Linked DNA regions of Caenorhabditis elegans. The protein of the gene in region 1 interacts with the protein of each later gene in a pairwise test. Each region holds a gene or a part of one and is shown on either strand. Other genes may lie near its edges.

Region 1 (6,841 bases):
TTTCTCTTCAGTTTTTATTCGAATACTACAAATACACGAGTAATAGTTCAATTTCGTAAAGAGACAATGGAGACAATACATGCAAACTTTCATACTGGAGACTCTACTTTTCCAACGTTTCAAGCCATTTCATTTTTGATTTTTCGATCGTTTCGGCTCGGCTTTCACAGTGCTCGACGACTTTTTTGCTCCCAGATTTTTCGACCTCTTTTTAGCTTTCTCCTTTGCTTTTTGAGTTTTCTTAGATGGAGATGGATTAGGCTTAGAAGAAGTTTTCATCATGTTTGGAGGAAGAGCTGCGTGATGAATTATCTGAAAAAATTAACTAATATCATTAAAAACGCAAGGAAAAGTGCTCACTTTTGCAGACTTCTTCGACTTTTTTGGTGTCAATTCATACCGGACAAGTTGCATTTCTTGTTTTTCCGACCTCTTTCTGCTAGCAGACTTTTTGATTGACTTGTCGGGTGTCACTGTAGCAGGTTTACGAATTGAAGAAGCTTTTTGAACCTGATCCGGTGGAACTATTGCAGGTAAAGCTGTAGCGTAAATCGATCCACCATTACTTTTTTCTGGCTTCGATTCATATGTCGACTGTCCTGTTCCAACGTAGATCGATCGAGCTTCAGACAATGGTTGAGTTTTCATTAGAGTACGTTCACAACTTGGGTTTTTTGGCGCGGGTTTGGAACTCTGAAAAACAAAAATTGAGTTGAGGCGTTACGGGGCCTACGTGCCTACACGCAAATTTTGAAAAAAAAAACCAAACGCAAATATGTGAACTGGTAAGACCTGTTTCAAGCCTGATTACGTGCCTACTACTCACCTTATCATCTTTCACGGATGGAGCTTTCTTGCTTTCATTCTTTTCCAATAACTGCTTCTTCGTCGTGCTCTCTCTGACTGATCCTCGCTTGGAACCAGATTTTGGTTGCTGAAAGTATTCCTGTTGCAGAAAATCCAAATTTTTTCTGCACTGTAAATTTGATTGTATCGTGTGTGTGCCTAGATTCCTATTACTACTATTCCAAACTCAAAACCGATCTTCTTTTTCAACATGCTCCATTAGAACTCACCACTTGCTTCACTGCACTTGTTCGAATACTTCCACGTTGGCTCTTTTCGTTACTGGACTCCTTGCTTTTAATATTCTTCGTGCTTGAAATCATCTTTGGCTTTTCCCGTTCTTCCCTGTCACTTGAACTTCTCTTGCTCCGATTGCTCACTTGTTTCCGAAGGCTTTTCGAACTGCCCTGGGCTGTTTTTTCACTTCTTAAACGATTTCTATCATCTCTTCTGCTACGTTCTGGTTCTTCTGGCTTTCTAGAGCTACTAGTACGCTTTGATCCTTCACCAACATTTTTCTGATGACTTTTTTGTTCCAAACTTTTGGGGTTACGATCTTTGATACTTCTGAAAAAATACAGCTTTACTTCAAAATTAGGTCCAAAAATGAACTTGATTTAATTGTTCGATTGAAATTATTTTCAGCACAATTGCCAAAAAATAAATCAGACATAATGCTCACACTGAGACTGCAAACGCTCACAATGTGAAAATTACAAACGGTCGAGTTATGCGAATCAACTGTGAAATATAAGAACTGCGGGAAGTGTACAAAGAAAACTCATTTTTCTCTTATTCTCATGTATTTTTCACTTTCAATTGGGTTTATTCGTGCATTTGCAGCCTTGTAATTTTACGTGGTTCTGATCCTATCCTACCTATCAATTTTCCTAGACTGTTCCTGGTCTTCCACTTTTTCCCGCGAGCTTCCATCATCCTTCTTCAACTTCTTCTCCAGATTTTCATCTTTCTTCTCATCTTCATTATCCTCTTTATCTACTGTTACCTCCTTTCTCTTACTCTTCTTACTCTTCTTGCTCTTTTTAATCTTATCACCATTCACTTTTCTCAGCTTCTTCTTACTTTTGAAGCTCTTCAAACTCCATTTGCTCTCCATATCACTCCGATCCTTGTGTCGTTGATTTTCCCGGTGTCCAGATGTACATCCAATTGATATTAGAATTGCAGTTAAACTTGCAATTGCAGCTAGATACACTGGAAAATCAATGGGATTTTAAGCGGGAAACAGTAGAACTTACAATAGTTAAGAGAACTGTGAAAGAGCACAAAGTGGAGGCTCATGTTTGATTGGAAATAAATTTGGAACAGAGAATAGCTTTAGTTTTTTTTTAAATTTAAATAACCAGAAATCTTCACGTTTTAAATGTGATTTCTTTTTTTTTTAAGAAAGGAGATAAAATCGATTTGGAAAAATCTTCCCAGGCACTAAAGATCCCAAAAAGTACAAATTCAATTATTTAACCAACCCAATTGTTTCTAATGGTACATTTGTTAGATAATTTCAATACCTAAAAGGTAGGCAGGCACACCTTTATATCTACTTATCCTTTTGCTTAACGCCTATTTTCTGCGTTTTTGCGAAAAATTAACTTTTAAAAAAGTTTTTTCGCAAGTTTTCGATGATTTTAAATGTTCTTAGTAATATTACTATTAATAGGCAAACTTCCTGACTTTTATTTGAATTTGGAATTATTTTTGATCGAGTTGGATGAATTTTTTTTTAGATTTTTAACAATTTTTCAAAAAGCTTCCAGGAAACTATTCAGCCCGCGTTTTCAGGGGATCAGAGTTGAGTTCCGCAGCAAACATTTTGTCTAGAAGTCCTAGTTTAAAAATAAGCGTTCTAATGGCAAACGTCTTATTTTTAAGTCCGATTTCCTTTAATTGGAAGTCCGAAAAACTAAAAAACAAAATTATCAAAACAATTTTGCGTGTAATTGACCTCGCGAAAAAAAATTACCAAAAGATTGCACGTGCTGATAAAAGTCAACGTGTGGTTGAGAATTGAAGAATTCAATCATTGTACGATTCTTGCGACGGACGACAACTTTGGATCATCGCTCCGGGCCTACCAAAGGTATGTTTTGTGGTATCGATGCGAAATGTGATGCATTCAATCGGTGTACTAGGTCATCGGGCTTCCATGGGAGGCAGGCACTGTTTCAAAACCTGCCGTCGCCGCACGGCCGCCGCGGCAGGCGTTTTGTTACCTATGTGGAAGCCCTCCGATGCATCATTCTTGTTGACAACCAATAAATCAATAATTTTTCAGTAAAGAAGAACAATAATGACAGCGCCAATGGATGTCGATAACTTGATGAGCCGTTTGCTCAATGTCGGCATGTCCGGTGGAAGACTGACAACTTCTGTCAACGAGCAGGAACTCCAGACTTGCTGTGCTGTGGCCAAATCGGTATTCGCCTCCCAAGCATCACTCCTGGAGGTTGAGCCGCCGATCATCGTGTGCGGAGATATCCACGGACAGTACTCGGATCTCTTGCGCATCTTTGACAAGAACGGATTCCCGCCTGATGTCAATTTCCTGTTCCTTGGAGACTATGTGGATCGTGGAAGACAGAATATCGAGACGATCTGTTTGATGTTATGTTTCAAGATCAAGTATCCAGAGAACTTCTTCATGCTTCGTGGAAACCACGAGTGCCCAGCCATCAACCGTGTTTATGGGTTCTACGAGGAGTGCAACCGTCGTTACAAGTCGACTCGTCTCTGGTCAATCTTCCAGGTAAGGAGAGCAGACACTTTGTCGAACTTTGTCCCCTTTCTGTAGCGGATTATCACTTCGCTGCGAAGAATGAAACAACTCCCTAATTCTCCAAATTTCAGGACACTTTCAACTGGATGCCTCTCTGTGGACTCATTGGTTCCCGCATCCTTTGCATGCATGGTGGTCTGTCCCCACATCTTCAAACTCTTGATCAACTTCGCCAACTGCCACGCCCCCAGGATCCACCAAATCCATCGATCGGAATCGACTTGTTGTGGGCTGACCCTGATCAATGGGTGAAGGGATGGCAGGCAAATACTCGTGGAGTCTCTTATGTCTTTGGACAGGATGTTGTTGCTGACGTTTGCTCGAGACTTGACATCGACTTGGTTGCTCGTGCACATCAAGTCGTTCAAGACGGCTACGAGTTCTTTGCCTCCAAGAAGATGGTCACCATTTTCTCGGCACCTCACTACTGCGGACAGTTTGACAATTCGGCTGCAACAATGAAGGTGAGATTCTTTATTACAACTTCTTTGTGAAAAATCGAATATTTTAGGTCGATGAGAACATGGTCTGCACTTTCGTCATGTACAAGCCAACTCCGAAGTCCATGCGTCGAGGATAAGCTCTGCAAACTGTCACCACCATCCAACCAACCAACCAAATGAGATAAATCAGTTGAAGTCTGTGTGTTTAAATGAATGAATGATTGAGGAAAATTCTTCTTTGTTTTAATTGCTTTTTTTCCGGGCACACATCAGCAATTAGCAATCATGTTTCCGCGCTAAATACGGTGTCTGCGCAGATAGCTTATAAGACAAAAACCGCCTATTTAGCCGAAGTGAAACAGGCACAAAGGATACCTAGGTAGGCAGGCAAGAATGTATTATCAGACAAAAAAGTTCGCATCCTGAAATCATATTCGAGTGTAATTTCGAGAAAAGTATTCTTGAATGTTTGAAAAATATTGCAGAACGGCGTACGACAAGGAAAGCATGTGAACTTGGGTGGCAAATCGGATGCATTCTGTTGGATGGAGGTTATCAAAAATGCACATTTTGCACATGTTTTAAAAAATTTTAGAATTCAAAAAAATAGAAACAAATTTTTATTCAATTAAAATTAATTAATAACATTAATATTTTCCTCATTTGTGAAGCTGTTTTTTGAAAAAAAAAAATTCCCGTAATGTGTCGCTCAGCAAAAATAGAAAATAAATCAATTAAAAAATTTTCGAACACAATATTCGCTTTCAAAATTGAAAAGCCACATTCTCATGTGTCCAACATTGTCACTGAAGAAGAATCCAAACGATTTTTCTTCAACCAATCGTTTAATAAATGTCATGAACTGTTCTTTTTGTTCTTTGCTTGGGTTGTGAACCTGGAATATGAATATTCTCACTATAGATTAATGGAAGTTTCAAATGTAAATTTAAACTGAAGTAACTCACTTCCAAACTCATTTGACAAAAAGTAATTCCTAATTGTTCTAATTTTCCATTTTTATAGAAAATATCGAAAGTCCCATATTCAGAGTATTCAGAATCCATCCATAAATAATCAATAACCTTTAAAAAGTCTTTTCGTTTTAAAATTCAAGATATTTCTTACTTTTTCACCAAGAACTTCTTTCAAAAAGTAATATAAATCTACATGAACTACTGGCATACTAATGTATTCTCCTGGAAATTCAAAAAAAATTAAAATTAAAACTTCGTAAGTTTTCCCACCTTTCGAAAGTACACTAGCCATTGAAAATCCAGCTTTCTCACCAACAGCAAATGGGAAATATTTTCCAATTTTTGAATATAAAACTGAATTTCCTTCCACAATTGGGTCAGCTCCATAGAAAGTAACATTGTGTCCAATGTTGTGCATTTCCTGAATTAAAAATATGTTTTTAACACTGTAAAAAGCTACCAACAAAAGTAAATTTTCGTCAATTTTTCTTACAATTGCTAGTTAAATATGATGTATTAATATTTGCCGCGCTTGTTCTTACCTTCTGAAACGCCACCTCAGCACTTATATCCTGTCCAATCCCAAGTGTTATAAACACATCTTTCAGAGTGTTCTAAAACAAATTTCAATTCGTAAAAAAGTGGAAATCGTTAATTCAAAAATTCAAAAACTCACACGAACTGGCAATATTGCATATTTAACCTCATCGGAATTTTTCAGTGGAATAGCTCGTAGAGATTGATGGACATTTGTATCAAAATCACAAGTTCGAGATTTTCCCTTGAAACTGTTCCAAAAGTCTTCTGCGTTCGTAGTTATGTCCAGAAATTTTTGAGCAACGCACGAATTCCATTCTTCGAAAAACTTTGGTTTAAAAGAATTCAGCTGGATTAGAGTTTTGCCGTTTCGAGTGATCTGAAAGAAAAATCTGACTTGAAATGAACTTTTTTTGAAAATGTTTTTTCGGGGACTTCTTTCAAATTTCAAGCGTTTTCAGAATTTAATATCTAAATTTTTCTAGGTGCCAGAAGCTTCCAGTTCAATCAAAAAAACTGGCCTTCAGACATATAAATGACCGCATTTTTTTATAGGGAGATTTACTGAATTTGCATAAATTTAAAAATTAATATCTGACTTAAAATTATCTTTTTTTAAATGTTTTTTCGGGGACTTGTTTCAAATTTTAAGCGCTTCCAGAATTTAATTATAACATTTTTCTAGGTGCCAGAAGCTTCCAGTTTAATAAAAAAAAACTGACCTCCAGGCATATAAATGATCGCATTTTTTTATTGGGATATTTATTTAATTTTCATGATTTCAAAAATTAATATCTGACTTAAAATGAACTTTTTTGAAAATTTTTTTTCGGGGACTTGTTTCAACTTTAAAGAAACTCGGATTTTCTTAATTTACAGTAATCCTACAGTACTCCTGAAGTACCTCTACAGTACTCATACAGTATCTCCACACTTCCCAAAAAATATAAAGTTAATCATTAAGAGTTTAAAAATAATCAAAGATTGCGTGACTGCTGTACATCTTAAAGGCGCATACACTTTTTCAAAGCGTTCATTTCAAAACTTTAGGTTGTTTCGAGACCCGGTACCGTATTCCTAACCTCGCATTGTGTTTTTTTTTTCAAAGTTAAAATCTGACCCAAGAACTGTAAAACTCACTTTATCGGTCTTATGCAATAGGACAATAATAGCAAAACAACATGTAATTAAAAAAATATATTTAAAGACCATATTCATCTCAAAAAATCATAAAGTACGCTTTTTGT
Region 2 (9,800 bases), on another chromosome or scaffold:
CGGTCAAATCTCTGTTAGTCTTGCTTTTTTTCCAATTTTTTTTTGGAAAAATGTTGAATACATCGAGAGGAAGCGAAAAATATAATTTTTTTCCAAAAAAGGTGGATAATCGTATCAAAAATCGAAAAATGAACATTTATCTTGAACAATTTGCATTTTTCCATAAAATTCACAAACTTTCCACTATCGTTTCGGTTTTTATGTTAAATTTAGAGTTAATAGAATGATTCAAAATGGAATCTCAAATCACAGCTCTATCCGATCATTTTTCGCGGAGATAGGTTATTTAGTTTTTGCACATGGAAATCCAGTTTTCCTCTGTTCCTGGACAAGTTTTCTACTATGCTTTTGATTTTATTTTCTAATTTTGATAATTTTCACTAAAGAAAGGTAGACAATCTAAATTTGGTCGGCTATGACAACTTTCAGTTGACTAGTCTTTTGGATTATTTGAACGGATTGTTTTCAATCGATCATGTCGATTTGGCAATTGACCATGATCAACTTTTTGGGGAGTTCAAATCTGCTTTGAGCCACCCTTTGTTTCGGAAATGCCATTTTCTAAAACTTCTCGGACATTCGTACTTTGGCACTGAAGATATGGAATTTATATTGAAGAATTTCGATTCGAAATATGGATTCCTGACTTATTGTTTACACAAGGACAAGATTGATAGAAAGCTGGTAAGTTGAAAATATCTTTGCTGAATTATGAGCATATTCACATTTAAGTGGGCCAATATTCCACGATTGGACATCGAAAAAGGCCCAGGATTAACACTAGACGATTTGAAAATGATGGATTGCGAGAAAATGAGATTTTATGATCTCAATACAGTCTCGGCAACAAAACGGAATAAGTAAATTCATTACTGGCTGGCCGGGAATTCGCCGAAACTGAGAAGACTTCAATTGAACTACTGGTGGCATAATTGGACGGGCGAATTATTGAAAGGTTTATCATATTCCAAATGGAATCCAAAACGTAGAGCAAGAATCTTCTGGTATGTTTAATTAAGGTCTTTTCCAAATAATAACTTTCTGGAATTTTCAAGTCATAAAAATGGAGGGAATCATTCTGATATGCATTATTCTTGCTTAAAATCTAGGGGAAAACAGGGAAAAAATAAAAAGAAAAACTACACTTTAAAACCACATAAGCTAAGTCGAAACTTAAGCTTTCTAAGCCGACACCTGATTTCAATTTTAATGCTTAGCCTAACCTGAACCTAAGCCCAAGCCTTACACTTAACCGGAACATATGTCTAAACTTAAGCCTGCCAGTTGAAAATTCAGTTTTTTTTAAATTGTCGTTTCAGTGATGATCTTGAATTTGTGGATTGCACATATGGACTCGATATTGAGAGAAGTGATGGTCTACTCGAAACTATTCTAATCGAAAACTTTGCTATGTACTTTCTCGTATGGCATGACAGATTTCCACAGGATCCCCGAACATTGTTTCACTTCTCGAAATCTGTTTCAATTCCAATTACAACTTATTAAAAGCATTCGTTTTTCTATGTTCGAAAGTTTTGAGATATAATGCACTTTTTTATTAGACATTCAAAAACTGAACTAAATAAATTCTGATAAAAGTTTTCTTTGTTACTTGAACTGAGTATTTGTCTTAATGTAAAAGTACTGTTAAGTCATCCATGTGAGAAAGGTTCATTCCCGAGAAAAAATGTCGGCGACAAAATATCAAGAAAAAGATGTTATCAAGAAAAGGAACTGTGTTTTAAAAGTTTTAAATATACCCGAGAGATGGGTATATGAATCAAGTACTACAGAAAAACATGATAAAAGAGCATTGTCAAAAAAGTGATGCGAAATGGGGAGTTTTAACAGGAAAGGAATGGAAATTAGCCCAGAGGATGTGAGCAACACGAAATGTGCTCTACGCAAAGTTTCAGTTTTTGGAAAGGTTGAAATGTTTGAAAGAGATTTTGTTAAGTTCATGAAAGAGATAACAAGTTTTCAAAGGAGACAATGAAATGTTGACAAAATTGAGTGAATGAGAAAAAAACGTACAGAAAACACAAAAAATTGTTGAAAACAAAATCATCTTATTTCGTATTTGTCAGCGCTTCTGTTCGTATCATAAGATCGTTCCAAGCTTCCCGACACGTAGTATGACGCAAATTGTATGAAGTTGGCTTGTAATTCTTCTTCCTCATCAACTGTCGGAAGTTCTTCCCCTCTACGTGGAGGCGTCAGTTGGACCGGCATTGATGTGAACTCCTGAGTATATGTTAATATCATTTTTGAATCATTGGTTCTCTTATTTCTAGAAACTATGAAAACTGTTATGAAAATTGGAAAATCCTAGTCATTAAACAAAGTGTTGTTTGTGTTTCAGTATCAGTAAAAAAACTAAATGAAATCTTATGTACGTTGGCATACATTTTTTTAAAACTGTACTAAAAATAACAACACTTTGCCCTAATTGTAAATCGTTTACTCTAAAAATTACTCATATTGCTTCTGAAACTTTCAAAAGAATTGAAACGTAACGTACTCTGTCAAAGAAACTCGTGTCCGTTTCAGACATCACATTTGGCTTAAATGGAGGTTCGACTTCTTTTCTTAATGTTGCTTCCCAATCCACATCTTTGAAAAATTCAGCTCTCGAAACTTCACGTGCATCATCAGGACCGGCACCAAGCCGCTTAGCTGGGACCCTTTCGAGTAGTCCAGATAGTAATGTTACGGCTTCTGGGCTTAACCTATTCGGGAACTTCAAATCACATGTCGTAATTAGTTCGAAGAGTTTGCCGTTCTCCTTTGCTGAAAATGGAAGCCGTCCACACATCATTTCGTACATGACCACTCCGACTCCCCACCAGTCAACACTACGGTCATAGTCGATGTCTTCGATAACCTGAAACAATAGACTAATAACTTGACGCGAGAATTGAAAGGCTTTACCTCTGGTGCAAGGTATTCTGGTGTTCCGCAAAAGGTGCTTGTTTTATCTCCATATTTGATTTCCTCTTTGCACAACCCAAAGTCAGTGATTTTGATGTGACCATCTCTGTCGAGAAGCAAATTTTCGAGCTGAAAAAACAATGGAAAAAACAATGAAAAAACATCAAAGTTGTGAAATTCAAAAATTTCTGACAAATACTTCAAGTTGTGATAACCCCTCTCAAAAAGCTTCTACTTACTTTCATATCACGATACACAATATTTCTGTGATGAAGGTATCCAAGAGCAAGTATGATTTCCGATCCATAAAATCTTGTTCGTGCTTCGCTGAATGTTTTGCACCTCTGAAGATGGGTGAACAGCTCGCCACCATTTGCAAACTCCATCACAAAACAGATGTGATATTGTGCTTGGAAACTGTATTTAAGTAGCTGAAAAAATATATTTGTGGCACTGTGTCAACAACTGGGGAATTCAAATATTTTAAATAATTGTAAGTAAGATATATTTGTAAAGTTATGGCAATCGATAAATTTATAGGAAATATGTATTTCAGAGTTTCTTAGAGAAAAAAAATATGGTTCCACGGAAACGCCCGCCCTACTTCGGCACGCCCATGCGCCAGCATTATCACACTCTGTGTACTGCTGCCGACGCCGCGCAGGACCTCGCGCCACTATAGCTACGTGCAACAGAGAAAGGCGATGTTGTGAGGGCGGCGGGAGTGTGGGGCGTATTGTGGTGCTGGCGGGCGAGAGTAGCGCCATCGTTGAAATCCTAGTGTGCATTTATCCGTCTCTCTAAACATGATTTTTTCACGAAAAAAATCATCTACTTCAATTTTCACTGACATCTGCCAACATTGTACACCGACTCAATATTTTTTCGACCAATAAGCATACCGTGAGAAAAGGGTGAACGCAAGCATACAGAACTCGATTTTCAGTCAAAGTGTGGGCCACCTCAGAACGATCAACGACCATTTCTTTTCTGATAATCTTAATGGCGTAGAGCTTATCAGAACTTTTCTCCCTGCACAAAATAACTTTTCCGAAGGTTCCTTGACCGAGAACTTTGAGGAAGTCAAAATCGTCCATCGTCTGCAAAATTAAATAACTACATACATTTAAGAAATAATAGAGATACAAAGCAAAACTTGAATTTTTAGCGGAAAATCAGAAAAAAAAGTTTCGCTCAACCTGTCAACCAAAAAAAACTTGTTGCGCCTTTCGAGTTAATCATTTTTACTCAAAAAACTTTCTTTAAAAACCTCTTATTTCCACATATCAATACGTGGATTTGTTGGCAGGATTTTGAAACTTACCACTGTATTTTTTCTTGGAACTTCCTCTGGTTCGTCGATATTCATTACAGTTGACTCAAAATCATTATCCGAACGGGTGCTTGTTGCGTCCATGTTCACATCACTTTCTCCAGACGGATTCTAAAAAATTTCATGAAAATTTTGAATCTCTTTACTTTCATACTCCATTAGTATCTTCCTCCTGCATGCTGGTATTTCCTGCATTTTCTTTCAAACGATTGTGACTGGATACAGCTTGAATTGCTTCAATCCACATCTGACGGAAGTCGGCGCTATCCGCATAAAATGTGCGTTCAATGACAGTGGTCCATTGGAGACATCGCACGATAAACATATTTGGTCGAGGTTTGTCAAGGCAAACCGTCTGAAATAAAGCATTTTGGTAGTTGCGGTTTTCAATATGGAAACTGCCTACTGGCAATTACTTAAAAACTTATTTGAAGTTCAGCTAAGGTTTTCAAATTTTTACTAAAGAGGGATTTCTACATATGTATATTACTGGGGTACTAACTTTCTGCTTAAAGGTGGAGTAGAGCCAGGGAAGATTTTGTTCAAACACATTTTTAATAATCCAAAATGTCCGAATATCATAATGAAGCATTCCAATAAATTTTAGATTTTTCATAATTTCCGGTCAAAGTTTTGGCAAATTGCCAAAGTTTTGAAAAGTATGAGTTTTTGAAGAAATCGAAAGCAATGTCGAATGTTCCGACCAGGGGTGTGCGGCAAATTTCGAAATTTGCCGCACACGTCAAAAATTTGACAGTACAATTTTGACTAAAACTGTTGATTTTTTCGCCAAAAATTTAGTAAAATGACAACAAATTGAGTTATTTTGATGTTTAAGCAGACACACTACATCTAACTTGTTCAGAAACCAGAGGTGTGTTAAGAATTCAGTAGTTTCGGTGCTCCAAAAAATATCAAAAAATATATAATTTTTCCGATTTTGTTAAGCACGGCAAATTTGCCGAATTGGCCGTGCTCGGCAAATAATGGAAAAATAGATTTGCCGAATTTGCCGAGCTCGGTAAATTTTGAGATTTGCCGCACACCCCTGGTTCCGACCCTTACAATGTTTCAATGGATATAATTAAAACAGATATACAGTATAAAAAATGTTGGAAAAAATTCTTTTTGTCGACTTCCAAAATAATGGGTGGCAAAAACTTAGTAAATTGTCTGGCGCTACTCCACCTTTAAAAGCAACGATTTTGAAAACTTTCTAGTAACCATCTACAGGTTCAAAAACTTACCGCTGCGTCTCTAATCATAAAATTATTCAGTGGCTCTGGTAACGGCTGATCTTCCTTTGGCTTTGACCGGAATCCAAGCAACGTTCCATCTCGAAACAAGATGAAGTACCTAAAATACTGACATCTTAGGATTTAATTTTCATTTATTTCCAAATTAGTTTTGGTTTCCTGTTGGAAGATTTTCATTTCCAATTCAGTGCAATTAAAGTGAAAACTTTTTGAATATCTTTTCATAAGGGACAGTAGCTATGAAACTTAAAACTACTGTACTAGATTGGATACATAGGCCTGGTAAAACAATGAAAAACTTACCTGGGGCGCCAATTACGAATGTGCTCTCCTTTCTTGTGAAGCCAACTTTCAATAACAATGTCTTCTTTTTGTAGATGGGCGTTTTCAGTAGACATTTTTACGCTGTAAATAGTGATAATTCTTTCAGAGATTTTGTTTTAAAAAAGAAAAATACGTCGTTAAAAAAATACAATTAAAAGGTAGTTTTAAATTATGGTATTTATGTACTATACCTGCCCCAAAAATGGAAAACCACGTGTCCCACTACGGTGTGATCTACAAAAAATGCGGGACTTTTTAGCCACAAAAATGTGACGTCAGCACGTTCTTAACCATGCAAAATTAGTTGAGAGCTCTGCGTCTCTTCTCCCGCATTTTTTGTAGATCTACGTAGATCAAGCCGAAATTAGACATTCTGACACCACGTGGAAACCCTATTGGCAAAAATTTTTAGGGCAGATATACTACACGAGCACTTAAATATTACAACTTTTCCATTACATCTTAAAAATTTACAAACATAGTTTGAACTTCATGGTTATGAAACATTTATAACAATTTAGTTTTAATTGATCATATTTTCAATAAGGCTTTGAAGTTTAATTTTTTTAATTCAACACTAATTAGGTTCTACGACAATTTTTCCTCCAAAAAAAAATCTAACGAACTAAGAATTCATAGCTTTGATAAAACACGAAAAAAAAAAGAAGAAAATAGTCGTTGGCTACGAAAGACTATGGGAAAAACAAACACCCCTAGTGACGTATTGTGGCAAACAGAGGAAAAGGACAGAAGGAAAAGATTGCAGACAAAACTTGAGCGGAGAAGCAGAGAAACGCCGGCAAGAGAGATGAGAGAGAAATAGAGATAGCAGCGAAGAGAGGGGATGTGACCTTTTTTGCTGCGGCAGGAAAAAGGACGAAAACAACTTCAGACACTATTTCTCCCCCCGTCAACAGCATCACGAGAAAGGTTGCGTTTGAATATTGATTTTTTTGGAAAGCGAGATTTGTTTTCAAAAAAAAAAAGAAGAAAATTCTGGAATAATGAAATATGAGAAACATGTGCGTGAAACTAAACATTTTCAAATAACGAGGGAATGTGAATTCTGGTGGATCAAGTATAAAGCAAAATTATTTTATGTACGCAATACGTTGCTCACAATTTAATAACATTTAGTAACTTGTTTTCTCTTCAAAACAAATTATTATTCGAATTTAACTTGGGGAAAATTATATAAACCACCTTAAACAAAGATTCAAGTGACTGTATTATTGTTTTGTAATATCATAAATGCGTTATAATGAAATTTCCACTGACACGTGGTGTCAAATTGTCTCAGTTCTGTTTGATCTACGTAGATCTACAAAATTCGCGGGAATTTAGACGCAGACATTTCAACTGAATGCGCATGGCTAAGAGTGTGCTGACGTCATATTTTTTGGGGGAAAAAATTCCCGCATGTTTTGTAGATCAGACCGTGATGGGACTGCCTGCCACCACGTGCACAAGAGCTACTCCACCTTTGCTGCAAATCTCTATTCTTTTGGTTAACTGAACAAAAAGTTTAAGCAGAAAGAGGCGTATTTCACTGGAAGTAGAAGTGTGATGTTATATACAATTTTAGTTATTTAAAGCGGAATAATTTAACGAGGTATTCCTGTGAATTTTGACTGTAGGCGTTCGTCTACTTATTTCCGCCGTTCCGTGCAATTTTAGTAAAAATCTATAATTTTGAAATCTCTAAAATAAAAATGAATTTCAAAAATGTATAATATTTCCTAACGTCTAGTGGAACTACATAGGTAACTTTTTGTCTGGAGTAAAATGGGCATGGTGTTGAAACAGTGAAATATGTGATTTCCTTGTGATATTTGTTGTATGACAACCGTCTTACTTTGAAAAAACCAACGAAGCAAAAAAAGCATGCGGTCGGAAGAAAGTGGTAAACAACTTGCCAAGTGAAAAATGCATCCAAAACCACAAGATGATAAGACAACCGACAAACAAAAAACACAACATAAACTGTAAAATGCCGGTTTTTTAAGTGTCGCAAGACATTAAATAACAAATTTTTGAAGTTTCGCAACTCTCTTTTTCTATATTGTTTACCAGATGTGCAGTTTTTTTTCTTTTATAATAATATGAACTACTAAAAACAAAGAATATACATTTTAGAGATTCCGAAAAAACGACAAAAAAAACCGAAAACGTGGGATTTGATCTCTGAAAATCCACAAACAAGCATGTCAACAACGTCTATTATTCAGTTGTTTTTTGGTGTGTAGTCCTTTATATAGAACAAGGACACCACAAAAACAGAAACGTGCAAAATATAAAAAAAAAGACATATTAATTACTCGTTCTTCTCGCAGTGGACAGATATGAATTTTTATTCGAATATACTGCTATTTTGTATATTTTGTCTGCATTGTTGTTATTAGGCCTGTGGAGTGGGTCGCCCCATTTTTTTTGGGTCGGCCGGGTTGGGGTCGCGTCCCCGACCCATTTTTTGGGTCGGGGTTGCGGCCCCGACCCACTTTTTGGGTCGGGGTCATGTCCCCGACCCATTTTTTTCAAAATTTAACAGAAAGTTATCAAAAACTTGAAAAACTATTTTTTGTCAAAAAACACGTGTAAAAGCTGAAAATTATAAAATTATCGTATTTTCATCAATTAAAAAAACATATCCTATTTTCGATACAAACAAGCATAAGAGTCAACGTTTAAACACGATTTACAACAAAACAAACTTTTTTTTTCAATTTCAGACATTTTCCGAAAATGGGTCGGGGACGCGACCCCGACCCAAAATTGGGTCGCGGGTCGACCCATCTCGACCCATTCAACAGGCCTAGTTGTTATTAGCTTACAGTTTCAATCGGTAGGCACTCAATTTTTGGTATATTTGGAAGCCGATTATCCGAAAATGCACGTAAAAACACGGAATAAACAATTTAAATTAAATAGAAAGTATCAATTAAAAATATTAACAGCGCATTTCAAAAATATTAAAAGTTATTAAAAAATACAACTGAAATGGAATAAAATAACTTGAAAGCAAGACTGATAAAAGTTCACATTTTAGTAAGACAAATAGATAAGGACTGGAAATGTATGTCTCAATTGATATTATTGAGTGCAGGTCCAATAGAGAAATAAATGTAGCATAAGTATTAAAGCAACATCGTTTTGAAAATACTGTAGCTTTGAAATCTCAAACAGGTCGGCAAACCGGAAACATAAAATAAGGAAAATTTAAACAGTTCTCTACAGAGCATGCTTGAGTTCTCGTAAATACTTAACGTGTTTTTGACATGGTGAATATGGGAAATTGATGATTGGAAAGGATCTGTCAACATTTTTTAAAAAATCCTATTTTTCCAAGCAAATATAATAATATGGGTTAATTACAAGTCGTGAAAGGTTAATTAATTCAGATATTATACGATTGTTTTTTTAGATTTGTTAGGTCTGCAAAGAAGGATGGAAAAAGGACCCTTAAAGTAGATGTAAGAGTGGAGTCAGTGAAAATGGGGAACAGACAGATAAATAGTTAATGTGTTATCTTTATTTTAAAATGCTGCTTTTTTGTTGTCAATACAATGGGTGTTTCTTCAACAATTCTTTTTCAGATCGGGTCCTGAAAATAAAAAGTTTAGTTTTGCAGAATATCAAAAAATATAGGGTTTTTCTTCTTACAATTAGTTCATTTTTGTTCAAAGCCATATCCATATTGTCCAAAATAGACAACATATCTCAAGTGAACTTTACAAACATTTACCGTTGTTATTTACCATTCCCTATCAACTTCTCCATCATCATCCCAAGGATAATCGTACGTTTCGAAATCATCCATTTCCACAGTCCCAAATGGCCACCAACCATATACAATTAGTTCAGGCTCTTTAAATGACTGAACGTCTAGTTGCAGTATTCCCCCCGCGACACAGTTCCGATTCCTTGTAGGAATAGCTTCTAGTATTGGATTCACCTGT

Evidence for each region.
Region 2: the proteins of gsp-3 (region 1) and akt-2 interact in a two-hybrid assay, tested with the Caenorhabditis elegans proteins (one large-scale study listed by BioGRID).

Annotation. Positions count from the first base shown.
Region 1 is NC_003279.8:4,706,735-4,713,575, reverse strand, and holds gsp-3 (Serine/threonine-protein phosphatase PP1-gamma), read left to right. Parts: upstream 1-2,863; 5' UTR 2,864-2,944; intron 2,945-3,139; 5' UTR 3,140-3,154; coding exon 3,155-3,610; intron 3,611-3,711; coding exon 3,712-4,104; intron 4,105-4,151; coding exon 4,152-4,220; 3' UTR 4,221-4,317; downstream 4,318-6,841. Other genes in the region: W09C3.2 (uncharacterized protein), read right to left, coding at 130-312, 361-693, 827-934, 1,077-1,413, 1,725-2,061, 2,106-2,148; W09C3.3 (Methyltransferase FkbM domain-containing protein), read right to left, coding at 4,814-4,978, 5,049-5,165, 5,209-5,279, 5,328-5,478, 5,600-5,671, 5,734-5,973, 6,735-6,812.
Region 2 is NC_003284.9:14,143,825-14,153,624, reverse strand, and holds akt-2 (Serine/threonine-protein kinase akt-2), read right to left. Parts: upstream 5,926-9,800; 5' UTR 5,919-5,925; coding exon 5,824-5,918; intron 5,621-5,823; coding exon 5,512-5,620; intron 4,620-5,511; coding exon 4,419-4,619; intron 4,376-4,418; coding exon 4,256-4,375; intron 4,032-4,255; coding exon 3,834-4,031; intron 3,363-3,833; coding exon 3,171-3,362; intron 3,061-3,170; coding exon 2,932-3,060; intron 2,885-2,931; coding exon 2,522-2,884; coding exon of another isoform or gene 2,477-2,521; exon of another isoform or gene 2,245-2,476; coding exon 2,065-2,244; 3' UTR 1,657-2,064; downstream 1-1,656. Other genes in the region: ceh-89 (Homeodomain-only protein), read right to left, coding at 9,434-9,445, 9,797-9,800. UniProt on the Caenorhabditis elegans protein: Acts downstream of PI3 kinase age-1 and kinase pdk-1 in the daf-2/insulin receptor-like transduction pathway. Essential role in regulating developmental arrest at the dauer stage.